Danio rerio: one gene and its partners. The protein of the gene in region 1 interacts with the protein of each later gene in a biochemical or structural test. Links are inferred from orthologs where the notes say so. Each region holds a gene or a part of one and is shown on either strand. Other genes may lie near its edges. The genes, in order: mmp14b, lum and timp2b.

Evidence for each region.
Region 2: the proteins of mmp14b (region 1) and lum interact in a biophysical measurement, tested with the Homo sapiens proteins (2 studies listed by BioGRID and IntAct, with this or other methods). The link is inferred for Danio rerio from reciprocal best matches to the Homo sapiens genes MMP14 and LUM.
Region 3: the proteins of mmp14b (region 1) and timp2b form a complex in vitro, tested with the Homo sapiens proteins (2 studies listed by BioGRID). The link is inferred for Danio rerio from reciprocal best matches to the Homo sapiens genes MMP14 and TIMP2.

What each region holds. Positions count from the first base shown.
Region 1 is NC_133177.1:41,181,644-41,192,794, forward strand, and holds the start of mmp14b (matrix metalloproteinase-14b), read left to right. Parts: upstream 1-3,634; 5' UTR 3,635-3,847; exon of another isoform or gene 3,848-3,971; 5' UTR 3,972-4,032; coding exon 4,033-4,119; intron 4,120-11,151.
Region 2 is NC_133179.1:16,934,338-16,945,659, forward strand, and holds lum (lumican precursor), read right to left. Parts: upstream 6,973-11,322; 5' UTR 6,937-6,972; intron 6,139-6,936; 5' UTR 6,117-6,138; coding exon 5,237-6,116; intron 5,155-5,236; coding exon 5,000-5,154; 3' UTR 4,092-4,999; downstream 1-4,091.
Region 3 is NC_133178.1:61,863,654-61,874,978, reverse strand, and holds the start of timp2b (metalloproteinase inhibitor 2b precursor), read left to right. Parts: upstream 1-4,661; coding exon 4,662-4,782; intron 4,783-11,325. UniProt on the Homo sapiens protein: Complexes with metalloproteinases (such as collagenases) and irreversibly inactivates them by binding to their catalytic zinc cofactor. Known to act on MMP-1, MMP-2, MMP-3, MMP-7, MMP-8, MMP-9, MMP-10, MMP-13, MMP-14, MMP-15, MMP-16 and MMP-19.

The DNA of each region.
Region 1 (11,151 bases):
AAGAAACTGCTTGTTTTAAGTTAAGACCAGTACATTAAGTTGCAAAATCTGGCATAAATATCTAAATATTAACAGTACATGTAATTAATGTTTAAAGTACTGGGTTATGTAGGGTAACTACATGGGTTAAAGTAATAGTTCAGCCGCCAAAAAATGAAAATGACCTAATTTATTCTTCCTTATACAAGTTTTTTTCTTCTGTTGGACACAAAAGAAAGTATAGACCCTTTTCACAAGACTATTAATGATGCGTTTAATGGTCATCAGCATCCTAAACCCCTGAAAGCTTTTAATATTTAGCTTTTTTTTTGCAATGTATGAACATTTATATGCAATTATATGTGAATTATATCTTACCGTTGTACCTTTGCAACAAATTACAAAAAAAAAAAAAAAAAAAAAGAATTTTCTAAGTTTTTAAAGAATTTTCATGCAGTTTTTAATGCAGTTTTTAATGCAGCGTATATAGGGCAGGAAATCAATCAGGTATTGGTCAAATTAACAGTATTAACAATTTTGAATTATAGGGATTTAATTTACAGATCAGCTTCAAAAACTCTTCTTCACAAACTGGATGTTATTTACCAAGCAGCAATTAGTTTAGTTACTGTTGCGCCGTTTAATACTCATCACTGTCAACTGTATTCTTTATTGAATTGGCCTTTTCTCTAATTACGCCGACAAATTCATTGGTTTCTGTTCATTTACAAAACTCTTATTGGGAAAACTCTACTAAAGTATATTTACAGTCACTTCCTAACATTCAGAAAACATGTCAAAATCTGCGCTCTAGTAGTTTTATTAACCTTTGTATAACCACAGTTCGCATTTTATTTGGTTGCTACTCTTTTCAGTTTTCTGCTGCTGATGCTTGGTATACTTGTCTGCAATTATCAGTCTCCACATTTTTTCACCATCGCGGAGCTTTTCTTTTATTATTTCAGCAATCACAATTGTAAAAAAAAAAAATTTTTGTTGTACTCTCCAATTCACTACGCTTTTAAGTTTACCCAACTATGCCTACTTCCACTATTGAGAAACGAATCTGGTTGATGGCACATATTGACTTCCATAGTACTGAAACAAAAATACTATGCAAGTCAGTAGGTTCAGGTAACCAGCATTCTTTAAACTTAAATCTTTCGTGTTCAACAGAAGAATGAAGCTCGAAATAGCTTGTGATCAATTGAAGGCTGAGTAAATAATTATCATTTTTAGGTGAATTATGCCTTAAATGTTACACTGTAAAACCCAACAGTCAACTTTATCAAATGAAATGAGTGTAGGTAACTCAAAATGTACTGAAAGTTAATTTTACTAATTTGAAAAGAGAAACTCAAATAGTTTGAGTTGCCTTAACATATTGGGTTTTTCAGTACTCAGTTGGTTTGAGTTCTCTTCATTTATTAGGTTTTACTGCGCTCAAATTTCTTCATTTATTAAAATGGATTAGGTTCACAGTACACATAAGAATTAGTTTTTGAACTTAAATGGTTTGTTGCAATCGGTTTTTGTAAATGGTTTGAGTTACCTTAACTTTTTGGGTTTTACAGAGTAGGTTAAGTGATACCCAGTTATTAGCTCAGTTATGTATTCTTACTATAAGTAGGACGTATGTAGGCAACACAAAACATAACTATAATATAAAGTACTACCCAAAATACATTGCACATAAGCAATGGGAAAAACCCCTTTGATATAATCATTAATCCTTCACATTGATACCCGAAAAGATTTATGTTCACTCAGAAAAAGTCATCATGGGTTCCTTCGATATGGAAAATGCAGAAAATTAGTCACTCAGTAAGGGTGTGCAAACCTTCTACATCCACATGTTCAGCACCATCTTTAACATCCTTAAATCTGATGAATGAAAGATCTCTTCACAAATCGTTCAGGGCTCCCCAGAAGTACAGAAGGAAGTTCTTCTAAAAGTAAAAGGTGGGATCTATTTTAAACATCTTAATATGTGATAACATGCACGAATCTCTCATTTAAATTAATATTTTCTATAGTATGCTTTACAATATTATATTTGTGCATGTACATTAGTTTAGTCAGTACTGAAGCCAAATCTGGAGCTAATCTAACAAAATAGCTTACAATAATGGTTCAAATATTAGTAGCCCAAATGTATATGTTAGGGAAAATATTAAATTAAATTTTCAAAAATAACAAAAAACAAGAGAAACAAAGTATATATAATTGTGTTGGAATGTTTTCTCTTGCAATATTTTGCATGAATTTAAATGATTTATCTTTCCATTTCTAAAGATGTTCCATGACTAAAATCTTTTTTTCATAAATATATCTGTTTAATAAATCTGTTTTGTTCAAATGCACCAATATATATTGCCCATATTCACTGGCAAATGGATAAAAATACTCATTTTCAAAATGTGGTGTACTCCGCCATGATGAGCACTGTATTTGCTCTAGTTCAGAGATGCCCAAACTAGGGCCCGCGGGCCAAAGTTGTCTCACGGTAACCTTTGATTTGGCCCACCATCCAGTCTGAGAAGAGACTGATGGGAGGGTTGGGGGCGAATGTCTTTAACTGAGATCGTAATTTCTAATTTAACATAGCTTTTTTGATTGTTTTATTGCTGAGCTACAAAAAAAAAGCAAACTAAACATAAATGTGTCAATTAGATTCAAAAATACTGTAAATACTGTCAATCTATGGACAGAGAACAATGCCAAAGACATCAGCGAGACATCAAATCAAGGCAAAAACAGATGCAAGTTGACTCGTGTATTCGGCATTAAACTTCCCTCTGTTCTAAATGGGATTGTTTTTGTTATTACTGTTATTAATGTATTATTAAAAAACTGCATTAGTTAATATAAAGCATAGATTTGTAGTTATTTTTAACATTATTAATTACCCATGGCAAATTTAATTTAATATAGTTTGGTATTTTTTCCTTCGGCCCACAGTCCTCAATCAATTTTGCTTTTCGGCCCTCCTTAAGAAAAGGTATGGGCACCCCTGCTCCAGTTTATCTATCAAAATGCAAAACATGTAATGATAGAATGCCACCGGTAGGTGGGAGTGTTGAACCTTGGCACTAACAGACTCGAGACATGATAATACTGTATAAAATATATACGCTGCATATATGACTACAAAACATATGCTGTACATTTAAAACCATAAGGTGTTAAATCACAAAACTATAAATTGTCTTATTTTGTAAGAATTTAATGACATAAAAATCCTACAAATGTTTTAAATATATCAACTATAACATAAAAAGCCAAATTACATTACATCCCCTGGCGCTATGCTCGTATTTTTCCATCAAGTGTAAATGAATCATTCTGTCATGCTTGTTTGCTTTAGAGCAGTGTTTTGGGCAGTGCCACAAAGAGACAGATGGTAAACACTAAACGAATGTCGAGCAAAACCCTCAATTAAAATTGCTTTAAAAACATTGATCTAAACAATAGTCTACTAGTCAGGGAGGGGGAAACTGGCATATGAAGTATGTTCTCTGTCCACAAGGAAGGTCCAGCAAAAAAGTCGTCAGCAAGGCCATGAAGTTCGTGGATCTGAAGTGAGCGGGATGGGCTAAATGGAAGAGGGAGGGATTTTACTATCCAGTTTTTTGGCAACTTCGATCGAGCGACCACGTCTACAACCAAGAGAAAGGGGTTGCTGTGCATGAGAAGCCGAAGATTTTATTAAACTAGAAAAATAAGACAAAGATATATTTGCCAATGATAGCTTGTCTGTTTTTACAATGCGTTCTGTCGATGCTCCATTCTAGCGCCCAGTGCATGAAACGATGACTTTTAGACTGTAGAGTTTCAGTCCGTGCAATGCAACGGTAATATATCGCAGGTATTGTTTACATTTTGATAAACGTCTGTATTCTCCCGCTTTTCTGGAGAAACCAAAGTTCTCGTCCAATTTGTACCACTATTGTGGTAGGCACTAGTTTTTAAAGCGTTTTTTATTTCGACAGTAACAAAGTGGTGTCAAACTTTATCACGAGTACTTTTTCAACAAAGGAATCAGAGCGAAAAATGATCTGGAGCGGGTTCACGAGGCTGTTGCTCCTAATATTTGTGTGCGCGCACAGATCGTCCTCGAAACAAGATATGAAACCTGAGGTGAGTATCATGCATTATTAAAACTTAAACTGATATGTATCACTGATAACTGATAACATGTACAGATATGAGCATCGAAAGATGTTTCATCCCTAGGGAACGATACATGACTACATCTCAGTAATTCATGCTAGAAGAAAAACATGATTTAAAAAAGAAATAAAATAAAAACTGATAAAAACAAACGTTTCATATCAAATCAATAGTATAAGTGTGTGTGCTAAAAGGCATATAAATATATGACTTTGTTTTAATAAAGTAAAAAAAAAAAAAAACTTTTTTCCAAACAATATGTCGAAACTGGATAAAGTTCTTTGATAACTGTTACTGTATAACAAACTACTAGACTTGCATGTCAAACTGTGTGACCTTCACTAAAGTAGGTCAATGCTTGGCTAATAAAAGCAGACTGTGTGTGTATGTGAGACTTGATCTTAAGCAGGGGTGCCTTTTCTTATGAAGGGCCAAAAATCCAAACTTTATTAAGGCTAGTGTGCCAAAGGTAAATATAGTTGCCATAGGTAATTTCTCAATTTATTTAATAATATTTATAAAAATAACTAATACAGTAACTTATACAGTATATATATATATATATATATATATATATATATATATATATATATATATATATATATATATATATATATATATATATAAAATACCAAACTAAAACTTTTTTTTTTGTTGCAGTAAAAAAATAAACTAATTTATCTCTAGTTTGTGCCTTGATTTGCTCGTCTATGTCTTTTGCATAGTCCTCCATTTGTCGAGTGACAGCATTTATGTTTTAAAAACTCAGACTAATTTATATTTAACTGAAACGTCATTTCAATTAGCTTTTTGTTTGTGGTGAAATAAAACAAACAAACAAAAACAGGTTAAGTCAAATTAGATATGACAATCTAATGTCAAATCAGAATGTGACAATCTGTTAAAGGCATTGCTCCAACCCCCTCTATCATTCTCAGATGGGATGGTGAGCCTAATCAAAGGTTACAATGGGCCAACTTTGGCCCGCGGGCCCTACTTTGGGCATCTCTGATTCAAAGTCTAAATTGTTTGAATGTCACAATATTTAAAAAAGAAGGCAGCAAAAGCGGCTAATAAGAAACGATATCTGCTGAAGAATAACCTATGTATTGTGATTTAACATTTGTAATGCCAATGAGATTGAGAAAATTATGAGATGAGAAAATTATCGTGGTCTTAATGTATTCTGATTTGAAAAAAAATTACATTAACATTTATAATCTTTTTAGAAAAAATCTGATCTTTGAGTGTAAATTAAAATCAGTTTATAAAAACACTGTCATTATGCAAAACTATAATATAAAATGGGCATAGTTTTTGTTCACAAAAATATGTGACATGTTAACAAAATTCAGAACAAAACAGCAAAATTTATAGAGCCATAAATAACATGTTCATTTCCATTCTAGCTGAAGGGTGGAAACCCTACAGGATATATCCATTTATGGATTTGATTAAACTTATGAGGCTCTGAAACTTTATGATCTGTCAGTCACAAGTATTATTGTCACAGATGTTTAGTTTTAAGAAACTCAGATCTCTCTGCTCTGTGATCAAAGTAAACACTGTGGAGGAGTCTGAATTAAGGTCAAGTAAGAGACCGCAGATACTGAAAGATGCTGAGGATGCAAAAAAGAACGGCCGATTACCGCAGGAAAACAGGAAGAAAAGTCATGACTGTAATGTTGTGGTCAGAGGGTGGATGGATATGCTGAGGATGAGTTTGGGGGGAGAAAGGTTTTTCGGCTCCTATAAGCTGCAGGATTTAATGGATGACATCTGTCCTCAGTTACGGTCAGAAAGTAGAGGAGGGGTTTAGACAGAGTAAATAAAAAATATCTCCATATGGGCTCTTTTCTTCCTCTGTTTCTCCATTTCGGCTACCAGGAAGTCATCACAATCCTGCAGGAAGTTCTCCCAATTCCTTAAGGATTTCCTTCAGCTATACAGACTTCTGCACACCTGTTTTTGAACAATACTAGTGTCTGTGTCTACCTCCATTTGTTGTGAAATCCATATCACAATGATATTTTTGATGCACTTCTTGTCACTGACAGATAAGTCATCTGATGAGTTGCATTAATGATTGCGTAAGCCACATTATTTGGACATGCATTTGCTCACATATGGCTAGTCACATCCTTCATAGGACAGAACCGCAGGAAATAGCCCAGGGATTTTTTTATTTTTTGACCACATGGCTTCAGAGCAGATGTGCGATGATGCCAACGGTTGGTGATGTAGTGACAGAGTTTGAGGAAGGAAGTGGGATGAGGAAGGGGGTGGAATGTTGGAGAATATAGACAAAGAGATGGGGGGAAAATGGGATTGATGTTTTCGGGCAGGAAACGCGGTGGGTGTGAATGATGCAATTCTGCATAAAGAATAGAAAGTATTGTAGGCTGAAAAGTGATGTCATTTTAGAAAAGAGAGACTAACAGAGAAATGAAAGGCTGAAATTGACTACAAATTGTACAGTCCCTGGACAAAATCTGAAAATTAGGTCATTTACAAAGTAAAATCCTTTTTTGGATTCTTTTTTTTGATGTTTGAAACTAGTAGTCATTGACCTGCAATTAGAAATGTTTTTTGTACTATGGATGTCAGTGGCTAACAGTTTTCAACAATCTGCAAAATATATTTGGTCTTCAATAGATTTTTTTTTTATTTTGGATCCTTTTAAGACTGAACAACCAGCAAGATCTTTGCATTAAGTGGTTTCAGAAAGGAACACTCACCGGCCTCTTTATTAGGTACACCTTACTTGTACCAGGATGGACCCCCTTAGAACTGCCTTAATACTTTGTGGCAAATATTCAACAAAGTACTGGAAATATTCCTCAGAGATTTTGGCCCATATTGACATGATAGCATCACAGTTACTGCAGATTTGTCAGCTGCACATCCATGATGCAAATCTCTTATTCCACCACATCCCCAAGGTGCTCTATTGGATTGAAGTCTGGTGACTGTGGAGGCCATTTAAGTACAGTGAACTCATTGTCATGTTCAAGAAACCAGTCTGAGATGATTCGCACTTTATCACATGGCGTTCTATCCTGCTGGCAATAGCCATCAGCAGATGGGTACACTGTGGTCATTAAGAGATGGACATGGTCAGCATCAATAGGAATAGGGGCAGGACCAAAAAAAGGAGCAAGCAGCTACTTCCTGCAGAGAGACACAGAACACTTCATAAAAATAAAAAGAGCAGAATTAATACATAAGGGACATAACACCCCCACAGACAAGAATAAACATCTTCATGTTTACAAACAAGATCTTGATAGAGTATAAGCAATGAGGTTATCTTTGCCTTTTTTGTACTGAATGTCTAAATTAAAGTCTTGACAAATTAAAGGCCAACGCATAAAAGTTGTCAAGTGTAAATTAAATGCAAGAAAGTTTGGGCTGTCACAGTACATACATTTGAATACTAACCACTGTTTTTGTTATTGGTAAACTCCAGTTACATTAGGCATTTCTTTTTAAGTATTTCGCTATTGGTGTTACGCTGTCGATACATTTATCCAGCTGTTGAGCTTCATTAGCGTAACCTGAGCAGCTGAACTGCATTTTTATGATTTGGCTTCATTGGATTTGGATTCACCACACGCGCACCCAGATTCTGTGTTATTCCATTGGCCCAGAGTAAATGGAAGTTGTGACTCATTTTCCTTTAAAATTGCATGTCTTTCTCTCAGCCTCTCAACATAAAATGGTGCCTATTGCTCCTTTGTATATAAAGTAATAGAAAAGATCACGCATGCTGTCACAATAACTCAAACTTAATTTTTCATGCATCATGGCCAAGCCAAAATGAGGGTGAAAACTGAATTTATTTAATCAAATTTGCAAGTTATGAAAGCGTTGAGGATTTTCTTTACATTTTGGATCTTTTACATTATATTAGATTTGATATTTGGTGTTCACACTTGCAGTTCAGGTCTTTTGGTTTGTTTGGGCCAGACCAAAAGTGTATTTAGTCCTGGCAGACTCAGTGGTAGTTTTAAAAGGGTTAGTTCACCCCCCCAAAAAATTTGGCTTTTTACGCTCCTTTCACTTTGTCCCAAATACTATTTGGGTTTCTTTTATCTGTTGAAATAAGTCATTTTGAAAAGTCCCGGTTGCTTAGACCCATTGACTTCCATGGAATTTTTTTTTCCTACTGTGGAAGACAATGTATGCCAGCAACCAGCATTCTTCAAAATATCTTCTTTTGTTAAAGAAAAAAAAAAGAAAGAAAGAAACTCAAAGGTTGAAAACCACATAAGGCAGAGTAAACGATAAATAATTGTCATTTTTGAGTGGACTAACCTATTAATCCCGAAAGATACATAAAAATGTAGAGCTTTGTGATGGAATTTACAGGACATTATGACATTTTATCAGTTGTGAAGATATTAAAATATGGCTTAAACACTAGGGATGTAACGGTATCAGAATTTCACGGTACGGTAATACCTCGGTATGAATGTCACGGTACGGTATTTATTGAATCATTTACAGGAAAAAACAAAACTTATGAAAATACTCCAAAAAAGTGCCAAAAGTGTCAATGACATACAAATTAGCCATCTATCTGTAAGCTTTGAAACAGGAACTTCAATTTTAATAACAAAAAATTATTAAACCATGTAAAAAAAATAAAGTTTCAATTTAGTATTGTTGAAAACTCATCACATTCAACATTTAATCACACTCAGCCCATCTACCTAGATGAGAGCTCTGCTAGTCGGACTTCTCATCAAGCATCTCCCGCTGGATCTAATCTCACTATATTTATTAAACGGGATATTTCATTTATCTTGTTGTCTTTATCTAACGACATATTCCCTGACTTTGGTCAGTGGAATCTATTACTTGTTCTCAGGTAACGTGTTTTGGCTGAGCGCAAAGATAAGTTAATGATTAATGTAAGCACGTACATTCTGTATATTGACTGATCGCTTGCCTTTATTTCCTATAATGTATAAACTTATTGTATGTTATACTTTTAAAATGGCCATTATCGATTCTTAAAACTGATACTCAGCAAAAGAGAGGCTGTGTTTCGTATTTTCACTGAAATTGAAAGGAGGCAGTTGTTATCGGCTCCGTTTTGTTATAAATAACCACACAGTGAAGATGACGCTCATCTTATGCAGCACGACGCCTCAACATTTCTGCTGTCTAAGTTGCTAATATTAAAATGAAAATAGGCAGTTCCTTAAATCATGTTTACATTTTATTGTTGAGAAAGTGAAACAACGAAGCCAGGGTGATGTGAATGAAGTTATAAAGTACACTGTTCCCTTTGAAGATTTACCCGTGTCCTCGGTATAATCTGCTTTTCCATATCAAACTGAGAAGAAGAGACTGCAGCCTTGATCAAACTTGCGAAGTCTGAACTTACACGGAGATAAAGCAGGTCGCACACCAGAAGCGACGCTCGGCGGCGCGGCGCGCCACGTATTTTAGAATTCTAATCATAGGTTTCTATCAGGATACACACACCGGCGGCTGTCGGCGGCACCCGGCGACGGCTCAGGACGCAGTTCATTTTTCAGCCGCGCCACAGAGCGCCATCTGATTAGTTTCATGTTAAATATCATTCGAATGTGCGCGTCTGGTGTGCGATACTTTAATCTGTCATGTACGCGCCGTGTCGCGGCGCCGAGCGGCGCTTCTGGTGTGCGACCTGCTTTAGAGTTTTCCAGCTCTTTTCATCCCCGCTTCTAGCAGCACACTCCATTTCCGCATTACTGGATCTGTAGCAACAACAGACCGCAAGGGATGATGGTCAAGCATGGGCTGATGGCAATTGTAGTTTTCGTTACCTTCCGTTCGCTTCATTCGCCTGAGCAAATTTTCTCAGAAGACCTATAGTTTTACCGAGTCATGCGACTTCGGTAATATCGAAAAAAATTAATATTGCGGTATGACGGTATTTACAATACCGTTACATCCCTATTAAACACGCATTTACACTACCTGAAAAACGTCTTATCATCGATCCCAGTTGTCAGAGCAACAAATACCAACTTGACTTCTAGTTGATCATTTGGAAAAGTGAAAGAAGGTAGATTTTTCATATGAATCATCTGTTGAACTGCATCCCAATCATCACAAATACTGCAGAACACCTATTGGAACATGCATGGACACAAGATTCTCACAGAAATCAGTCGAGTTTGGTAAAGGAAAAATCATGGTTTGGTGTTACATTCAGTATGGGGGCATGCAAGAGATCTGCAGAATGGATCAGCAGCCTGAGGTTTAAAAACATTTGTGCTGCGCATTACATTACAAACCACAGGAGAGGGCAAATTCTTCAGCAGGACAGCGCTCTTTCTTATACTTCAGCCTCCACATCAAAGTTCCTAAAAAGAAGAGGGTCAATGTGCTCCAGGATTGGCCTGCCCAGTCATCAGATAAGAACGTTATTGAGCCTGTCTGGGGTAAGATGAAGGAGGAGGCATTAAAGATGAATCCAAAGAACCTTGATGAACTCTGGGAGTCCTGCAAGAACGGTTTCTTTGCCACTTCAGATGACTTTATTAAGTTATTTGAGTCATTGCAGAGGTGTATGGATGCAATAATTCAAGCTCATAAGAGTCATACACAATATCAATTCTTTTTCCACTGTACTATGACTTTATATTCTATACTGTATATTATTTCTGTTTAGTGACAAGACCTTTTTCTAAGCTAAGTCAGACAAATTAAATAATTAAAAATCAAGTATATAAATATTTTATTTTGGTAAAATAAGTATAATCCAGAGGCATTTGTCTTTCATATCAGCCACTTCTGATACCAAATAATCAACTAGAAGTCAAGTAGTTATTTGCTGTTCCTAAAACTTAGATAGGCAATGACTTTTGTAGGGTAGTGTATAAAGCTGAACTGAATGGTTATGGACAACATTGTGATTGAACAGAAAAAAATATGTGCACTTCATGTTTTTTTATGGTCGGTTTTGGCAAGTTTGGTGATTAGATTCATCTTTGTGGACTG
Region 2 (11,322 bases), on another chromosome or scaffold:
TCTCTCTCTCTCTCGCTCAGTTATAGCCCTTGCAAGAGCTAATTTGAGTTCAGCAGCTGATCAGTGATGCACTAAATGCTCTAAAGCAGGGATCCTCAATCCTGTTCCTAGAGATCTACCTTCCAGCTAAGTTCAGCTCCAACTCTGATCAAACACAACTAAACCAAGTAGGATCTGAAGGAGCACTTGGTAAATAAACACAGGTGTGTTTGATCAGAGTTGCAGCTGAACTCTGCAGGAAGGTAGATCTCTAGGAACAGGATTGCAATCACAACAGTATGATCATATGCTCTTGGAATTAATTACAAAGTGAGTTTGCTACTGGGCTACAAAATTGTTCCTCACATTGTTGCACACACTTAGGATTAATATAAGATTGGACACAAAGTGAGCTTGTTATATTCCATTTAAAACTCATTTATACCAAGTGCATATCAGGCCAAGGATTTATATCCCAAAACCATTCTAAGAAAAGAAAATTGTAGAAAATTGTAGAAACCACTGGCACCAACAAACTAATAAAGCTTACAATGCTTTTGGGAAATGCACTTAAACAGAATCTTGCTTACCTCTTGAAACAAACTGTCCCATGAACCAGTTGAAGATAAGTCAGACTTGCCATCCCTACTTTACAGATATAATGCAGCTAATTGGTTATTTGAAGTACAGATTTGGTTCTGTCCTCGATCAGTTATTAATCATATGTTGGCAAATCTTACAGCATCTTTCTGTCAAATGTAAGGTAAACCCCCACAATTTTCTCGCATTTAAAGCAAAGCTTGGTTTAAATAAGGGGTGTCCAAACTTGGTCCTGGAGGACCGGTATCCTGCAGATTTTAGCTCCAACTTGCTTCAACACACCTGCAAGGATGTTTCTAGAAAGCCTAGTAAGAGCTTGATTTTCCAGCCCAGGTGTGTCTGATTCGGGTAGGAACTAAAATTTGCAGGACACTGATCCTCCAGGACCAAGTTTGGGCACCCCTGGTTTAAATGGACCAAATGTTTAGAGGTATGTGCCATAACTTCATACCTAACTCTTTTTAAATAAATATATGATGAATAATACTTAAAATGTAATTATTAATTAATTAATAATTAATAAAACACTTTAAAATGCATCTAAAATGCATTTAGAAGGTTGGGTGATATTTATTTGGACCTAGAAATGCATTTCAACCCAAAACAAATGCATACATTACTGACAATATGACATGTAGCGAATTAATTTTAATCATCCCTTTATGGTATCTGTTTACTTTGCAATTTTATTTATTTATTTATATTGCCTATGTCCTCACATACCATGATAGTGCAAGAAGGCAGTTGGGCTCTAAACAACAGCAGGAAACTCTTTTGTCTTTTCTCTCAAGAGATCAGCTGTAGAAGAACAAGCTAAGAAACACCACAGTGGTCTCTTTCCCACACAAAGTCTTTTCAGTGTTGCTGAATAACAGGCTGTGGTTTTTTTTAGCAAGACCACAATTGCATAGCTGACAAGCACACTGAAAAAAAACAACCATGACATGGCAAGATCAAAATTTAAGTGTCTTTTCAGTGCTGTAGTAAAAACACGAATGTGTTATTGACCTTGCCAATAATAAGTCTTCCTGAAGAAAGACATATTTCACTCTGGTGATGTATGTCAGACTTCTGCAAAGATCAGTCTCCAATGAACAACTAATGGACTGAACCAGGGTCTTTTTCTACATTTCTTTTTCTTAAAAACTATTTCCTTCTAATGTATGGGACAATGTGTATGGTGAAAAGTCAGAAAACTATGTTTCATCATCAACCTCTGGGAAAAGAAAGTGCACGATCAGCTTGTGGCGATCTTATATTTTCAGGCTGCTATAAAGCCAGAACTGCCCATCCATCATCTGTTTCCAACACATGGACAAAAGAACTCCCACAATGCCTCGCTGTTTAACTATCAGATGGTCACCCAAAACGCTTCATTTCTCTGGAATGCTAGGTTGTCTGCCTGCAAATTCTACCGTTTTAAATAAAACACTCATTTTTAGTGCTAGCTCAGACGCGTGCTCAAATCTGTAGTTATGTTAAATGCAACGTTTGAAGTGCCTGTCATAAAGGTGTGGTTTGGGACGGAGAGACAGATGGAAGCAGATGGTTGGAAGAAGTAAAAGGAAAGAATGGACCAACTGTTGGGGATATTTTATGATTCATTCAAGGTATGTCCCGGGCCAAGAAAGGGAATGAATGTTTACAGCTAACTCAAACACTGGCACTGTGAGAAGATATGAACATCCCAGCTACACAATATGCAAAGGTGGTCATTGAAACAAGAGGAACGTCAGACATTTAGCTCTCTTAAAAACAAAAATGACAAAAAAAAAAACAAAAAAAAACTTTTGTAGCAATGCCATAAAGAAACTAACAAAAAATGGGGTTTGATTACGTAAAGAAGAAACAGTTTACACAAAAATGAAAATATTATTACTTTTTAATTTACTCTTGAGTAAACTATCACTTAAATAGCTTTTCATGAACCATTAGTTTGTTAGCACAAATGACTTTTAATAATCTTTTTTTCCCTAAAGAACCTTCAGTGGGAAGTGCAGGTAAATGTACTTTGGATGTTAAAGGATATTCTTGGAAGATCAATGGTCTTTATTTATAAGCATGCACAGTAGGTGAACCCGTATGACCTTTGGAGATTTGGATATTTTTCTATGTCATGAGGCTAAAAGTGTAATCACAATGTTGTAGAACTATGAATTGAGAAGTGTTAGAATCGTAGGAATGCATCACAGATCATTATATTAGGCTATGTGTTATCTACGGGCAATAATAGCAATATGTCATACTTCCCTTTTTAAATGTGCACGTAGATGATCTAACGTGGGAGAGCAGATATATGTATTTACACGTCTTTTGGCACAGTGTTCTTGAAGCTTCATATCATTACAGTTACTCTTAAAAACGCTGCTGTCTATGGAAGATAAGAGGGCTGTCAGATTTCATCAAAACTCTTTTAATGTCTTAACATGAAAATGAATGTGTTTTAAGGAAATTGTAAGAACATGATAGCGAAAATTTAATAACAGAGCTTTAATTTTTGGGTTGAACTAATCCTTTAAGTCTACAATTTTATCGCAGTTTGGGTTTTATGGACATGTATAAAGATTTGACATGAAACTATTACTAAAGCCTAACGTTTTTATTGAATGATTTGATTTGGTCTTACCTTTTAAAGTAACATGAAGTCAAATAATTCTTATAAAGTGCTGCCAGCAGATATAACACCCTAGTTCTTCAATACAATGACCTTTTCATTATCGTTTTTTTATCCACAACCTTTTCTTCAGACATCAAGTGAACACGTTTCCTACAGGAAGCAGTTCTGTCATCATGGCTCTGCTTTAAACAGAACTAAATTGGCAACCAGGAATCAGAGTGAGAGGCCAAAAAGGAGAAGGAAGGAGGACAGATCCATACCAGAACTAACAGAGTAAAGAAATGGAAATCCACATCAAGTCATGCTAGAAGATCATAAATTAAGATCAAAGCAATCAAACTTAGAGTAGCTTGACTGCACTATGATGTGCAAGCCTAATTTTGGTTTGACAAATCAGTTGATAACAATTAAAACAAAGTAAAGCATGACTGATTACTTGATAAATTAAATGGCACTGTGTGTTATAATACTAGATCTGATCTAATTTTAAGGATTGACATCTTCAGTATCTCCCACATAGGTAAAAAAAAAATGTGTTTTATTCAATTTAAGATGAACAAACTGCTTTGATGTTGTCTTGAAAAAAAAAAAAATCAGGGATCTTACAACTTTTATATAACAGTCTGCCAAAGTTATGGGAATCTCGTGGTTCAATAATTTGACTAACATTGTGATGATGTGAAATAGTGTAATGAATACATCAAAAAGTCATTGCTGTGTACCATAGAACTGAAAGGAATTACTGTTACAAAATTAAGATGAGCTGCATGCAGATACAGTAGAATATGGAATAATCGTTGGCAGAGTTCAGAAATGCAAGCCGCTACTAGTTTGCAATTAATAAATTTTGCCACTGCAGTTTCTCATTTAAATAAACCCCCTTTGAGATTAGATAGAATTCACTCAATGTACAATGTTTATTTTTTAATTTGTAAATTAAAATGCACTGCTGTGCATTTAGTTCATATCCATAGGTTGTAGAAAACAGTCGAATATCCTTACTGGCAGGCTTATTAATAATATGATTACAGTTTCAAGTGATTAAAGATTTTAACATGCAAAAAAAAAAATAGATGACATGTAGTGCAACTCATTATAGAGTGCACAGCATTTTGTGTCTCTCTTTAGACTGAAATATTTCCACTTTTCATACATTATAATACAAGACTAATCTTTTATGTGCCAGATTTTCAAGATTTTCAGACTATTGCTGCCCGTTTTTCATACAAACTTTTTAAACAGCAAATATTGTCAACAATGTGCAAGTGACCGAATGTGGTAGCCAGAATCCCGAATAAAGACATCCAGAGTGTCTAATAGAGAGCAAAGTCCTGCAGGTTTTAGCTCCGACGCACTAAGAAGTTATAAAGAGTCTGAAGACCTTCATTAGTTTCCACGAGCTAAACTCTACAAGATAGTGGCCATCTGGGAACAGGTTTAGTCATCCAATCCTGCTCCTGAAGAGCCAAAGTCCTGCAAATTTTAGCTACAACACAATTTCTAAGAAGGTTCAAGTGAGTCTGAAGACATTCATCAGCATGTTCAGGAGCTAAACTCTGCAGGATAACGGCCTCTGGAAACAGGTTTAGATGTTCAATTTAGCTGCAGAAGGGCCAAGGTCTTGCAGATTTTAGCTCCATCACATATGCTGAGAAGTTGTTAGTGAGTCTGAAGGTCTTCATTAGCTCGTTCAGCAGCTAAAATCTACAGGACACTGGACCTCCAGGAAAAGTTTTGGGCAGCCCTGGTTTAATAAGAATTAAAGCCTTATTTTGTTTGATGAGCTACTGGCGAGATTTAGCTCTATTCAAAGATGATCTCTGAGGCCTGGCGTAGGCAGTTAGCTGTGTCATCTGGCATACTGCTGTGTGTGATGTTGTTTCCATCCAAGCGCAGGGTCCTCAGTCTAGAGTAGTTGACCGGTGAGCTAAATCTGCAGATATTCGTCAGCTCAAACTCTAAAGAAACAGAAAGCAAAATGGAGTCAAAATCAATGCAAAATCTGATTCGCTTAACCAGATGGAGACTAAAAAAACTTACTGTTTATCTCATTGACTTGCAGGTAGAGGTGTTCTAGTGATTCGTTGATCTCCGGGATGGTCTTCAGCTTGTTGAAAGACAGGTCAAGCTCAAGAAGAGAGGACACGTTGAACACTCCTGCAGGGACTCCTGAATCCACAAGTTTGTTGTGGGAGATGCGCAGGTACTGTAGGAGTGGCAGCTTTGCCAGGTAGCCGTTAGGGATGCTGTCGATGTCATTATTGTCAGCGTAGAGCATTAAAAGCGAAGCTGGAACTCCCGAGGGAAGTTTCTTGAGCTTGTTCTCGCTCACGTCCAGCAGAATGAGGGACTTGAGGCCCTTGAAGGCTCCTGTGAGGCTCTCGGTGGTAAGTTTGTTCTTGGACAAGTGGACGGTTGTCAGGTTTTCCATCCCAGCCAAAGTGTTAGCAGGGAATGAGGTTAACTTGTTACCGATCAGCTTCAACTCATCCAGAGACTTCGAAAGAGAACCAGGGGGTTTAGTCAGCTTGTTATGACTGAAGAGGAGCTTCTCCAAGCTTCCTAGTTTATCGATAGTACCAGCCTGGATCTTGTCACTGGTGATGTTGTTGTTGTCGAGGACGAGCCAGCGAAGGTCGGTGGCATTGTCAAACACTCCAGCCTTGATCTCCTCAATGAAGTTGTTCTGTAAGTAGAGGTATTTGATTCCGGTCGGCACGATGGGGATGAACTTCAAGTTGCGCTCATTGCAGTACATGGCAGTGGGAAAGTTGATGGGACATTCGCACTCCTGGGCACAAGAAGGTGATGAAACGCCCTCCAGTGGTGCGGAGGGTATGTAGTACTCATCATAGTAATCATACTGAGCTAAACTCAGACTTAGAAGTCCAGCCAACAGAATGGATCCCAGAGCAAACATGGCTGCACAACTTAAATTAAACCTAGACAAGAGATCAGTAGAGAGGAGAAGAGAACAGGAAAGAAAGGGAGAAGTGGTTAAATAAGGAGCAATATTACATTAAAAAAAAACTAAAATGTGTAAGAATAACAGAACTTTCTACGGTGAACCTCAGACATAAACAAAAACCAGAGACACTCTTCTAATGGAAATTGATGACTTCATTCTCAAGAATGCAATAGGCCCAGACAGACATTCCTCCCTTCACAAATTAGACCCACATTGCTGGTGTTCGGATCCAAGTTCATCTCAAGTTACATTGACTTTACTTTAGAGTTCCCTTTTTTGTGCATGACATGCTGATTAATTATTAAGATGGAATTGGAAAAGAAAGACATTTATGAAGTTGGGTAATCCATTAATAATTTATGACGGCATAGAATAATTTGCAGCAGGTGTCAAGCATGGAATCTCGCAACCCAGGTTTTCTTTATAGCAATCCATTGATGCAAAATCACTAGTCAAATGCATGCACTGCTTTATCTTTCTTTCTTCCTGCAAAAAATTGCATTGATTGTTCCATTGTACAATTTCATGCATTTAAAAAAACCTATAAATCATTTGATTTAATTCTAAATGACAGCCTTTATATTTGACCACAAACAGCTTAGATAGAACTCCAAGCTTCCCAAACATCACGCTGAATTTCCGCAATATGATCATAATGTTTCTTTAGTCCTCCCCCAAAATCTGCCAAGCAGATTTCTGATAATCTCATCCAGAGAAAGCAAAAGCTAGCATGAACATTCAATGCATAACAGCAGATGCTAAATATCCTTACCTTCCTGCTTCTCTCTCTTCAGGTACAGTTGTGTGCGGCCCGAGGACTCTGGAGAGAAAGAGTAAGGGAGGGAGAGAGTGGAGAGAAAGAGATAGAGAGAGAGAGGGAAAGAGAGAGAGAGAGACACTCAAGCCAGACCTTAGTCGCCCAAGATTGAAAACAGAAGTCAGGCGGTTCTAGTATGTAGATGTCAGCAGTTGTGGCACATATGGATCTTAACAATGGTGAGTAGTAGCAATGCAGCTTGGGACATGTAGTCCTTCGTGGGATGCAGAAGGGAGCAAAGACTCACTGGGGAGGTTTTGCAAAATATATATACCTGCTGCCACACACACACACACACACACAAACTTTTCCATTTCCATGTCATCCATTCCAAACAATCCCACAAAACAGTTCACCTATTATGTGAGACACAAATAAGCCTACAAACACCTCAACCGTAAAAGTAATAATCCTAGCAAAACAAAGGATAATGAAACTATTTTCAAACTATTTGGAAAATAAAATAAATTGGCTGGTTGCAATGGCATCTGCCTGCTATTAGACAACCGGGACTTGGAAAAACTGACCAAATAAAAGGGTATTGGGCCAAACCAGCCTTACATAACCGTGTTGTCTACCTTCGGCATCTGAACGGAGAGTGTATCCAATCGTTAACAGCTGGTAGATTGTATATCATCAAGCAGTGTGCCATCTTTTAATCTTAAGCCCCATAAACTCCAGACGGCTTCTGTCTGGCTGTGGTCATGGTCCTCTGTGATGGGAAGCTCACAGCACATTGAGGTGGGCCACAACTCATGAGGGATCCAGGAAAGACAAGGCTGATTGCAGGTCAGTTTATCTTTAATAGCACATGCGGAGTCTTAGGAATGCAGCAAAGCCAGAGAGCCAGATGATAGATTGGTTCTGTAAGCCTTATGTGTATCAGAGCCTAGGTTGTGCATTTCTTGGGCCACTACTGTAAAAGCTGTAAAGAATTAGGAAGATATAAAATAAGGATTATAATCTAAACTAATCAATCCTGTCTGGTCATTGACAATTACTTGGCCATTAAAGATAATTAAACTGATAAACTTTGGAGTAGGATAAAAAAATATTGCAGGGTTTTGAATGCTTGATTCTGAATGGTGGGTGAACATTATAAAGTGTGCAGACATTTTTCAGATAAATGCACAGCTAAAGTAGTTCCAGGCAAAATAGTGAAGTGTAATGGTCAATATGGTGAATAAAGCTCCGCCTACTTGTACATAAGCCAATCTTCGATTGCTATAGACAGACAATACTCCGGGGGAGGTGCTCAGACCAGACGAGAGTTTCTGCCGATTTTGTGTGATTTGGATGTTTAGAAATGAAACTAAAGACACAGTTGTTGTTTAACTTTATTGGTGATACCTAATATGGAATTCAGTGGTAAGCTTGGCAAGCAGTTTTGGAGAATTTAATGTTTTCCCATTCAGAGGGAAACATTAAATTCTCTGCCCGAGAGGTGTTTTAAAAATGGCCGTTGAGTAAAGTGACTTGCCTCAAAGGGACTTTGATTACAGACATAACTATGCCAAATGATTTCACAAAATACAACATTCAAAAATATAATCAAATGTCAACAAAAGGCTTGATGAGATTTGTAAGAACCTGGTCCTGCATACATTCACAGTCTGAGGACAAAAGCCTGACAAATTTATTGAAATACAAAATCTGAACTGTAGATGTGATCACAATGGCATACAAGGATTATTTAACTCTGGTCTGTCGAATTAATGGAATATAAAGCACACTAATAAAAAAAATAATAAAATAAATAAAAATAATAAAATAAATAAAAATACATATATATATATATATATATATATATATATATATATATATATATATATATATATATATATATATATATATATATATATATACACACACACACAATGGGGAAAATTAATTACACATAAATATTCCCCTCTCCACAGACTTGTGAGAGGGCCGGATGTCACGAGTGCTGTTGTTATAATTTGTGTAGTTTTCCCCGAATGGGTTTACTACGAGGTGTAGGATGCCTGACAAAAACACCAAAAATAAACAGTTTAATAAACGATGACCTTTCCCGGAAGTGTAAAAAATGGTGGAATTTTTTTTACAAAGGTAATGATAAAAATGTCCAGTGCAAAGTGCACAAAAAATAGCAAATAAATAAATAAAATGATACAAAATATCAAAATAATAAAATAAAACAAAGATAATTATGTCATTTATAAATAAACAAACACATATCCACAATATATAATAGAGTATCCAACACGAAGAGAATTGCTGCCACATCACGCTCGAATAATATTTCTAAAGTAGCTGTTGACATGGAATTGAACCAGGTTTTGGTAAAAACTCAAACAATACATACATAAAAATAAAACAAAACAAAAAATCAAAAAAAATAGTAATGTGTAACAACAATGGCAGAGTGTTTCTGAATAACCTCTGAGAGATTTCAGCTGCTGTCTGGGCTTTTGCTGCCTTTCTACACCGCCCTTTCTTCATGTGTTCAATTCTTTTTCCCTTCATGTGTCATTTCATTTTATTACACAACTTAATTTGTAAACTACAGTAATTAAATTTGTTTTCTTTACCAACATCTGGTGAAAATTTCAATTCAACAGCACCTTTAGAAATATGTTTTCTGAGATAAATAGTGATCTGTTCAATACTTATTTCCCCTACTGTAAATCCCAATATCAATAAGTTTGCAAACTGATGTCTGTAGTTATTTTACTGAAAGTCAAATAAAACAAATTATTAAAATATGATATTAAATTAAAACAAATTAGTCATGTAGATAAATTCAAAAGTCTGAAAAAATTAAATACATATATATTTAAATAAAATCAAATGGGAAACAGTGACTAAGAGTAAGTTTCATACACTAGTTACATGCTCGAGCACCACTGCATGTTATAGCATGTGCAGTAACTGCTGGACCACGGATCAGACACCACTGGTGGTCCTTTCAACTGCTCTCAATCAATCTTATCATTCCTCGTCTGTCACGATTCCTGCAGGTCATCCTGCACTGAGTGAGGCCTGCAGGGCAAACACAAGCTGTTGAGCTCATGTCTGGACATCATGTATGTTTTGCAGTTATGCGGCAGGTAAGGACAAACCTGCGCTGCTCAACCTAATGCAGGTATGACTGATTTGTATTAGCTCTAAGACTATGTAAACCACAACATCTGCAGGAGCACAGTGGCATATCAAGTACAACACACTGGAATGCAACGGCAAATTCAACCCAGTCACTGTTATCTCATCATACTTTTTTCTCGTTTTGAGTAAAATTACAAAGGGTTACATTTTGTATTATTTAATTTATATTTTAAAGAGCCCCTATTGTGGGTTTTCGAAAATGAGCATCCATTTAGTGTGTAACACAGATCTAAGTGAAGGGAAATATCCAGCTAAGGCTTAAATCTGAAAGTGGACAGTTTTTAAAACTACTGAGTCATCTAAAAAAAAGAGTTGATTCATAGTGGTTAGAATGAATCATTTTCATAACGAGTCTTTAGCCGTTTCAGCGTGACGTGACTACGAAACATAGTTGATATGGGCGCAAACCCGGGAAAATTAAAACTTGCGCCCCGCCCACTAGCACAGCAGCAAAGACAAGAAGACGAGTCAAGAAGACGCTGTGCTTAGCTGGATATTATTGGAAGTGTGAGGGGAAATAATTGATTCAGCAGTCTACACGCTTACAGTGGGCTATAACACTTCACGCAAGAGGTGCCACAGCAATAATTGCAAATAGAAATGATCTAAGTTACAGCTTAGAAGAGAGAAAAGCTCGGTCACGGAAATCAAGCTCAGTAAATGATGTGCACGCTATAGGTTTCATTTTCACTGACAAGTGCCGTTCATACTTCCCGTGCGGGGGGTTATGACGATCACGGGGTTGTTGCACGGGCCTGTCCGCCGGGGGCTTGACAAACCGCGCTGGGCATTTGTCTAGCGCTGAATGCTGTCGACCAATCGCAACAGGCTGTCATCGGTCCAATCAGCGCAGATTAGCTTCGCACTAAGGAGGGGTTTGGGAACAAATGAATCGCTGAACGATTATGGGAGTCGCTGTGATAATTGGGTAAAAATAAATGCATATTATAAGACCATGAAAGTGTTTTTTGACCTTGCATGCATATCAGTATGTTGTTGGAGACCCATATAACCAAAATATGACCCTTTTTCATGTATAATATGGGCTCTTTAATATTAATAATAAAAGCGTATTGCTCGTGCGCATTGCTTAAAAAGACAAGAGAATAATGGTCACACTAAGACTATCTCACGACAATTTCACGACAATTCACGCCAACTTTTTGATGTAGTTGCTAATTCGTATGTATTTAT
Region 3 (11,325 bases), on another chromosome or scaffold:
TCCTTTATAGTTACTTTTACTGGCGTGAACAAGCCTTAAATGTATCACACCAGCCAAAATTCTCACTTACAACAAAGAGCAACAACAATTTAGTTTCACAAAAGTGAAACTGAATATACCGCCCAGCCAAAACATCTACAGTCCTGTTCACTGGAAGTCTTTTCAGACTTTAATTACAATGTACAAGCAATACAAGTCTTTAAAACCATGACACAATGGCTTCTCGTACTAATAAATGAACCACAAGAACACATGCTGGGGCACTCTAGGTTTTAATTAGCTTTAAGGGAAAACGGCAGGGAATTACACTTCGAAAATTCCCCTCAAATGGCCTGGAAGGGTTTCCTTCGTCTGTACAGAGGAAGGCCAGACGTTGAAGTAGTAAAACGTGCGATGATACGTCAGATTTCGTAAGATGCGTAAATTACCCTATTTAGCCTGGTGTGCAAAGACATGCATCACTGCTATTCAATTCAGCTTTATTTGTATAGCGCTTTTACAATGTAGATTGTGTCAAAGTAGCTTCACATAAATGGTCATAGTAACTGGATCAGGGTAGTTCAGTTTTAAGTGTTTAAGTTCAGTTCAGTTTAGCTCAGTTCAGTGTGGTTTAAAATCATTACCGAGAGTCCAAACACTGAAGAGCAAATTCATCGATGGGTAGCTCTACCGATCCTAAACCATGTTAGGTAGAGGCGACAGCGAAGAGGGAAAAAAAAACTTCACCGAGAGAAACCAGACTCAGTTTAGCACGACCATTTTAATTTCTCCGCTGGCCAAAAGTCTTGAGCAGAGCTGCAGTCTCAGCGGTGGAGGCTTGAAGCTGGCCTCAGCGAAGACTCGTCTGTCCCGGGACAGACTGGAGAGGGTCTTTCTTCAGACTATTACTACTGAAGAAAGTCCAGAGTAAACAGAGAGAGAGAGGAAATATGGGGGAAAGGTTTAGAGGTCACCAGAGGACGCAGAAGTGTTTCCCTGAATGTCAAGAAGTGCTGGTGCTTATTTCAACAGAGTAAAGCAACAGGGACTTCCTTCATCTTCTTAAAATCTGATTGAGTTCCTTATTTCTCTCAACACAAAGACAAATCAACTTCTTCTTGCGTCATAGTTATTCAAAGACATGGCAGAATATTACTACGCAAGCAACGGTAAACGAGGTTGACCCTGATAAGGGAAGTTTGGGAATTACTGATGGACACAAAATCCGTAATACTGCTTTGCAACATGATCAAATGCACTGTGACCCATAGTTTACCTCACATGCCAACGTCAAGCATGCACACAAAGGTCAACCAGGGGTGAGATGTTCTAAATCTAAAGTGTGTATTGCTGAAATTTTAATACTAATGAATGTGTAAAATCGCATTGTGCGTGCTGTGAAAAGCAGGGATGTGGTAGCTTTAAATCATGCTCTCATTTTTATGAGAGATTAAAGTTCTAGTTTAACCCAAAATGAAAGTCCTGTAATCGTTCATCAACTTTCAAGTTGTTCCAAATCTATAAGAAATGTGTTCATCTTCAGAACACAAATAATATTAGAAGGGATGCACCTATGCAATTTTTGGTGATACGGATATTAACAAAAACTTTGGCCGATTACGTTACCAATTTCAATATTAGCTAATACATTTTTAAAACAATTGTGGTTAAAAAAATTTATATAAAAAAAATACTAAAACATTATCCATTACCAAATCAATACTGATACAGATATCAACATTAAAAAACAACAACTTTTGGTTGGTTCCAATACAAAAACTTCGGCTGATACTGATATTCACAAAAAACTTTCAATCAATTCCGACACCATTATTAACAAGAAACTTAATGATTACATTACAGATTATGGTATTAGCAAATAAACTAATTATTCGAAAAATACTTTTAACCAATTGTGATACAATTTGGATATTAACAAAAAAAATTGATTCCCAAATAAATTCTGATACCTATATTAGCCAAAAGGAAAACTTTTGGTTGATTGCCATAATAACAAAAAACTTGACAGACTGCATTACAGATTCTGATATTAGTAAATAAAACTTTCAACCAATTGCTTTACAATTCCAATATTAACAAAAAAATGTAAAAAATTAAATAAAATTGTTCCATTCCACTACCGATATAAAAGAACTTTCGACTGATACTGATACCAATATTAGCCAAAAAAAAAAAAAAAAAAACTTTCAAATGATTCCGATATCAATATTAACAAAAAATTATTAACAACAACAAAAAACTTGTTTCAACAAAAATATAGATTCACAAAACCCATACTAATACTGATATTAAAAAAAGAAAAACCATTTGTTCAATTCTAATACCAATATCAAAAACCTTCGTGTGAGCCCAATATTAGTAAGAAAACAATATTAAAGATCCTTCGGTTGATACCAATGTAAGCAAAAAATACATTTCAATTGATTGCGATACCAATATTTAAAAAAAAAAAAAAAATTAGCAAATAAAATTTTTAGTCAATTGGAAAACAATTCTATAATAATAAAAAAGGTTGATTTATATTTTTTCTTATTAAATTTAGTTTGATTCTGATACCAATATTAAAGAACCTACAGCTGATAACAATACGGATATTAACAAAAAAATTTGACTGGATACGTCACGGATTCCGAAATAAGCAAACAAAACTTCAACCAATTGCGATACAATTCTGACATTAACAAAAAAATGTGGTCAGTTCTCAAATCAATACTGATACTGATTTTAACAACAACAACAACAACAAAAAATAACATTTGGGCTATTCTAACAATTTTAACCAAAGATTCATTCAGTCTTATAATGATATTGGTCAACTGCACACAATATACAATACTAGCTATTTTTCCTCCATTAAATAACTTTTACTTAACATGGATCACCATTCAACTTTCCAACATTTCACAGATTTATTTCTATTCTAACACTCAAACAATACCATTAGCTGTTTGTTCAAACATTTTAAATGAGTTGAATTTTTTTTTTGGGGACAACTTAATTGTTTCTTCATGTTGTCACAACACAAATCTATCGTGTGGAAAGCAGCATTTTACAGTGAATATTGTTTTGACCAAAAAGGCTTTTTGACATAATATAACATACTAATTTAATAAACTTAACAAGCCAGTGCTTTTGCTATCTGTACTTTATAAGACATACAGCACATTTTCTCCATTACCATCAGTATTTTTATATCAGTACTAATAGGTTGACAGCTTTAAATGAATCTATATTGGCCAATAAATAACGGTGGCTGACACATTAGTGCATCCCTAGACTTTAATAACCAAATAGTAGCATTCTGTCTCTCCATTTAAAGTCTGTTTACTGAAAACCCTGCTGAAAAATCCAGCTTAAACCAGCCTAGGCTGGTTGGCTGGTTTTAGCTGGTCGACCAGGCTGGTTTTAGAGGGGTTTTGGCCATTTCCAGGCTGGTTTCCAGTCATTTCCAGCCATTTCCAGCCTGGTCTTAGCTGGTCAGGCTGGAAAATGACCAGCTAAAACCAGCTTGACCTGCCATGTTTAAGCTGGACACAGCTGGTTTTAGCTGGGCTTCCAGCCTGGCTAGGCTGGTCAAGCTGGTTTTAGCTGGTCAACTCCCAGCCTGACCAGCTAAGACCAGGCTGGACATGGCTGGAAACCAGCCTGGAAATGGCCAAAACCCCTCTAAAACCACCCTGGTCGACCAGCTAAAACCAGCCAACCAGCCTAGGCTGGTTTAAGCTGTTTTTTTCAGTAGGGAACATTTGTAAAAGACACTAAAAATAAAATACAAAAGAACTGAGCAAATTAAAGCATTATAAAGATAAAAGAGCCTATGCTCTTTTTTTTTTAGATTTCTTTATGAATGTTTTGAAGCGTCAGCTGAATTTTACTGACAATAAATAAATCAAGAATCACAAAATAAACAGGAAAAAATATTCATTGTATTTACTAAAAAAATAATTTAGGTTAAGTGGATGCAAACAATTTATATGGGGTAAATTTAAACAAATTAAGTTGACAACTACTAAAATTAAGTCGTTTGTTTAAATTTAGCCCATATAAATTGCTTGCAACCACTTAGCTACCTCAAAATTGTAGTAACTACAATGAATATTTTTTTAGTGTAGCCTACGGAAAACTGCTAATTTAATGAGATTGTTTTACAGTGTATGATATACTTAAAATTTCACAACTCAAGCCAGTTTAATATATGAAATACACATTGCTCAAAAATGAACATTTATGCTTGGGCACAGAAACATCTTTAATATGGAAGTGAGTGGCGGTCATCGTGCGGTCAAGAGCCAAGGAAACGTCAGAGGCTCTCTCCATTGCCCAATACAGTACTGTTATTAAATTTCATTACATGTTTTATTTCTATATCGGCCAACGTAAAAAAGACTAAATACCAACAAAACAGATGATGGACATGATGACTAAGAGCGGCCAAGAAGTCATGCCGGCTCCGGGTAGGCGGAGCTCAGATGCGGATAAAAGCAGGGCGGGTCACCGAGAACGCAACTGTCTGTCCACTCCGAGCTTCTGACACCAGTCTGCTTTCATCAGCTCCTCGCCGTCAGCTTTTCAACTATCGCTCTCCGAAGTTTGCCTTGCGCAGCAAGCCAGTCTTTTACTGTATTTGTGCCAGTGTTGGTCGTGAAGAGTGTCCGCTGAAGATGAGTATGTCTCGGTCAGTTCCTCTGCTGCTGCTCGTGCTGTGTGGAGCCACGGACTTTGCCGGAGCCTGCAGCTGCTCTCCTGAACATCCACAGCAGGCGTATTGCAATGCGGATGTCGGTAAGATTCCATGCATTTAACTATTTCACATCCATGTCTGCATTATGCACCCATGACTGTGTCACATTAATGTGTGTGTATAAACCATAGACAGGATCCTTTATTATGAAAATAATGCCTGCAGAAACAACATTTAAAAAAAAACTTCTTAGATGGTTGCATTTTTAGAGTATGGTACTTAATTAATACAAATGACAAAGTAAACCTCACTGTAAAAAATTTAAGGTTCCACACAATTCATTTGTGTTGTCTCAACACAAACCAATTAAGTTAACTTAACAAATGTAAGTGGTTTGAACATAAAACAAATAAGTTGTCCAAACAAATCTCAAAAATTGTGTTTTTTCAACTTATAAAAAAAAAAGTGGAGCTGTAAGTCATTTTAAAAAGTTTCTCATACTCAAAAAATATGTTCGCTGTTTGTTCAAACTACTTATTTAAAATAAGTTAAAACAATTCTTGTTTTTAGAGCAACTTAATTGTTTTGTGTTCAATTTACTTAAATTGATCAAATCTAATAAGTTAATTTCCTTCATGTTGACTAAACACATATCAACACTTTAAAAAATTCAGGATTCCACACAATTCATTCTCGTCCCAACATAAATTGATTAGGTTAACTTAACAAATTTAAGTGGTTTGAACGTAAAACAATTTTGTTAAGAAATGTGTTGTTTCAACTCATTTTATACAAGCCAATAAGTTATTGTAACTGTAGTTGTACTTTTGCTGTACTCAAACAATGACGGTTCCAGTTTGTTCAAACTACTTATTTAAAATAGGCTGAAATGACAACTTTTTGGGGGACAACTTAATTGTTTTATGTTCAATCCACTTAAATTTGTAAAAACTAATAAGTTATTTTTTAATTCCTTCATGTTGACATTACAGAAATCGATTGTGTGGAATCCAGCATTTCTACAGCTGAACATGTTGTGGTTTCTTACCCTAACATTAATATGTTATTTACACATATTAAATCCATTTATCTGTATCACAATACTTTTTAGAGTTAGATTATGCTATTAATAATGATAATGTCAATGTATTTTATCATAACAAAACAATTCAAAACTTTATTGTCAGACTTGCATCTGAATTTTTTCTTGCATAACAGCATAATAAATACTGCTTACAAGGAATCAAAGAGTAATACAAAAAATATTCATTTTACAAGGACCTCATTCAGCTCCAGGACAGCCTGATGTAAAAATGACTCTTTAAATTTCACTTTATTAAAACCTGGGACTCTAAATCGAGGATTAGACTTGATGGTACACATTCATGATTCAACACATGACTAGGGTTCGAAATCATCTTCCTTGCCAGCCTTGTGAGGTTCTTGTAATACAAACGATCATATAATTTTTCAAGAGGCTTTCCTACTATCTTTGATCAGATTTTAATCTTGTTCATCAACTTTGTTTTGATATTCCCAAATAGACACCATAGGGTCTGTCATGTTTTACCAAAGTTTACAATTTTAGCTGTGATTTCTTTTCTTTATTATTTTATTCACATTATTTTTACATATCTTGCTTTTTACAGTGTGTAACACTTACATTAACACTTTAGTTTGAGTACCAATTCTCACGTCTAACTATTGGCTTACTGCCTGCATATTTTTAAGATATTGGGTCTGTATTAGTTCTTATAAATATCCTACATCCTCAAACTCAATCGCTAACCCTTACAATTTCCTTAAAAAATATTAATAAGCAGAAAATTAGGAGTTTATTGAGTTAAGATTCATAGCTAATGGCAAGAATTGCCTCAAAGTGTGACCAGTTTCATTTTCATTTTTCAGAGCAGTAATTTGTTTACATGTTATAAATAACTAAGCAATGTGCATAATTATTTTCTCTCTAATTAGAACTATATGGGCAAAAGAAAATTAAAGGATGAGATTATTCAAATGAAATGAAAGAAGAGTCTTAAATAATAGCTGGTTGTACACTCTCAGAAATAAAGGTATGTGAGCTGTCACTAGGGTGGCTTTTCAAAAGGCGCACATTTGTATTTGAAGGGTCCATATTGGTACCTCAAAAGTATTTATTAGTACCTACAAATTTTAAGAGGAACACTTTTGTACATTTTAGGTACCAATATGTAGCCTTGAGGTATTAATATAGCCCTTTTAGGTACACATTTGTAAAGGTGCCACTCTAGTGACAGCTTGCCTACCTTAATTTCTGAGAGTGTGAAAACATGTGCAAAACAATGACTTCAAAGCGAGCTGTGATTGGATGAGCCAGGCTTAACATATCAAAGAAGTTTGTCAAGTGTTTTATTATTAAAGTAGTCAAAATGTCATTTGATTGTTTTCTTTTTAGGGAGCTTCATGGCAAAACAACTGAATGCTAAAAAAAAATGCAAGGTTGTTTTAACTAAAAGTTGGATCAAATATAAAGAATTTAACCACTGGGTTAAAAATTGTAGTTTAAATTCAGTTGGAAAACATGTAGATTTAATATTTAACACTGGGTTAAAACAACCGAGTATTTTTTTAGAGTGACTGATGAGATGATTCATAAATGTATGATGAGTCTAACATGATATAAAATCAAGATAACACAACAATCCCCATAAAAATCCTCTGAGTCACATTTCACAAGTCATTATAAAACAATTTAACACACCCGTTCAGTCATATAATAATGCATAAAGGTGTGATGTTACTTGGCAGTAATAAATAACTGCAAAAATCAGCTTCACATTGTGAACGTATCCGGCTAAATCTCATCTCAGACACAGCCCACCTTTTATTTTCGCATAAATTCATTATGAATTCAATCCCCATGTGTATAAATAGAGCAATGTAAGCTTATTCTCCACTGATATCTACTGTATGAAAGCACATAATGTCCCACATCTGTGCAGTGTATATCATCCTCCTTGAAATATGATAAAGCTGAAATTATAAAGGCCTGATTTGATCCTCTGACCTTCAGCAGCCGGCCATTACATGACCTGTGCATTTTCCATTGAGTGTAGTAGCCCTGTAATTAAGCCCTCCTTCAACAGGCTGATTGCAGCTCCAGAAAATGAGAAAGCATTGCCACATGCTAGCGACATACCGTGGTTTGTGTTTGACATTAGATAGATGGTCATTACATGACTTGGGATGGCGAGACCCCACTGACCGCACACCCACCTATACTTAACAGAGATTCGCTGAACAACAACATCTGGCGCCCACCGCAGGAATCGGCCATCTCATTCTGGAGTATTCTGGCTGTTTGAAACTCCCACATGACTTGCTCATGATGGCTGAAAGATTCAACACAGTCGAATCATATTAATAAAGCACTTTACACAGTTACAGATAGTCTCAGCCATATAGTAGCACTGCTCTCAGACCTGTGGCTAAATGCCTGATGTAATCTTATGTAGATTTGAAGTGAAGACACCTCTTATTGGTTTGAATATACAGTTGGATGTGCAGCAATCTTAATCAGTCCACACAGCAAAATCCTCTGATTCAAATGTACTCAGTTTAGATAGTGGGCTCTATTTTTACAGTCCATGCGCAGAGCGCAAAACGCAGGGCGCAAACGCTTTCAGGGCGTGTCAGGATGCATTTTTGCTAATTTAAGGACCGCTTTGCACCATGGCGCATGGTCTAAAAGGGTTGAGTTTATTTTCTTAATGAGTTATAGGTGTGTTTTGAGAGTAAAACAATCAGAGTCTCATCTCCCATTCCCTTTAAGAGCCAGCTGCGTCGCGCCATTTGCGTATTTTGACGTAAAGTAAGTTCGCTTTTGCTCTCGTGGATAGGGAAACCTTACCGCACAGACATCAATTAGCCTATAAATAATTAATTTAGTTTGTTAAGCGCAAATATTTGTTTCAAAACTATTTCTAAATTCAGTTCTAATTTCCAGCAAACGAATAAATGAACAATAATAACAAAGTGTGGTCAAAATACTGAGTTATTTCCAAATACACCTGCCATGCCCCATATGGTCTAAAACCTGACAGTTGGACAAATCTAAGCTTGTTTTTAATAAAACAAATATAAATATAAATATAATAAATAATACTGCTAATAATAATAACATTATACAAAAGCAAATTGAATGAACTGAAAAAGCCTCCCGAGATGAAGAAAGTACGGCTGTGGTTTTTAAATCTTCATGTAGGCTAGAAATTAATATATTTTGTAATATTTTAATCATTTATATTTATATCCTACATATCTTTATTATATATATCCTTAATATATGATATCTTTTTCATATATAAAGATATTTGCGTGTTGCAATGCATCTAGTGTGTATGGTGTAAGCCAGGCGCACTTTGCGCTAGACAATAGACCAACTTTGTTCTGGTCTAAAGAACAGACTATTTACAGTTTCTCAAAATAGCAACGTGCCAAAACACGCCTGACCAGAACGCCTATGGGCGCACATATGAGCGCAAATGCATTTGCTATTTAAACAGTGTGGCGCAACACCTCAAAATGACCCTTGCGCCGAGCTGAAAGTAGCAAAAGACCATTGCGCCGCACCTTGCGCCACACTGCGCCAGGTGTATGATAGGGCCCAGTATTTGGTCCCTCTCTAAATCACGTTGAAGTTACTCAAGTTAAAGAGACAATGAAAGGATTAATAAGGAGATGATTGAGCACTAATAATGAACACCTGCTGGTGATAAACCAACGCAATCTCACGGCAATTCGTAACTTTTTGATTTAGTGGCTAATTCATTTGAATTTGTACGATCTAATTTGTACAATTTGGTACGATTTGCTCATCACCCAATAACGGTTGGGGTTAGGGGCCACGCCTCCTTTTTAAAATCGTACATTTTCGTATGATTGAACTCGTGCGGATTCGTACGAATTAGCCACTAAACTGGCAAAACCTAAAATACTTGCGTTTCCTCGTGAGATCAGACTGGATACCCAGGAGAAAAAATATATAATTATATGCAATTAAAATACACTTAAATACCCGCAAATACATTTTTAGTACATTTTTATTTTTTTTTTGTGTTAAATAAAAGTTTGATGGTTTTACTAATTTGATTGGATACTAATTAAAAGTATGTTTATACTTCAGTTGGACTTTAGTACACTTGACAAAAGTATACCAAATACCAGTAATACTTAAATAGTTTTTTTGTGTACTACAATAAAGTACACTACAGAAAAAACATCCAGAAGAGTTTTATTAGTGTGTTTTTCAAAAGTGTGCTTTAAATGCTTTAAACATTAGTTGATTTTTAGTACACTGTTTACATACTAATCCTAAGTTTAAAATAAGTTAATATATAAAAAAGCTATTAGTAATGTACTGTAGTAGAAGAACATTTTCCCAAAAGTTGTACTTTAGTACACTTAATGTGAATGCAATATTATCACATAATATAACACTTAAATTGATTTTGAGTGTGGTAATTTTAAGTTTACATTAAATTGACTTTATTAAAAATCTATTAGTAATGTATTGTAGTAGAAGTACATTTTCCCAAAATACTTTTAATACAGTATTTAGGACTTTTTTTTTTACAATTTACAATCTGTATATTCTTTTAATATATTAACTATTATTAACTATTATACTTTAAATTATTTATAAATATATTTTATGAATAATTTAATATATACTTTAAAAGTGTATTTCTAGTTGTAACTAAATATATATTTATTAAAATACAGATCTAGTATGTTAAAAGCACATTTTAGTTCAATTTCAGGGTGTCTCAAAATAGCACAGTTGAGTACACTTAGATGGTATTAAGTTTATCTTAACATATACTTAATACTATCTTTTAGTACATTAAGTACAAAATTAGTATGCAAAAATAGAGCCCTTTTAGTACATTACTGAAAAGTGTACTAAGTATACTTAAATAAAGTGCATTTTAGTGTACTTTTTTCTACCTTGGTAAACAGAAACATAGAAAATAAACAACTTACAGAAGAAAAAATTACAACTTACTTCAGTCACAGCCTTAGACGAAATCAGCTGAAATACAATACGTTGAATCTCTCAAAATCTCAGCAGAGGATCATTAAGCAACTCCACAAACAGCAGCTTTACTTACTACCAACCTGTTTGCCCTCATTTAAAGAGGGGCCAAATACTCTCTGGATTTATTCAGAGGATTTTGCTGTATATAGAAACAAGCCTGATCGAATTAAAACCTGTATTGTTTACATCGATGACAATGCTCATTAACAAGGCTATATTAAAGGCAGGTTTCTTAAAGTCTGCATGAAGTCAGCGTTTACAAAGTTTATTTTGCTAGTTCACATTCTTATTTTTAAGGTGAATAATTAATCCATGCAAGTTAATCCATAATAAAATAAATATATTATAAAATAAAAAATAAAAAGTTTTAAAATAAGTTTATTTTGGTAATCTTTAATGAAAGTCTGACCATTTGACCGTTTGGAGTGGAGGTTCTTTTGTTAACATCAACCTGAGGGGATTCTATTGACCATTTCGAATGTGGTGATGTCACTGGCCTAGCAACTAAAACATTTATAGACATTGCTTTCTGCATGACAGGTTATTTGTTGAAAGTGTGTTGTCA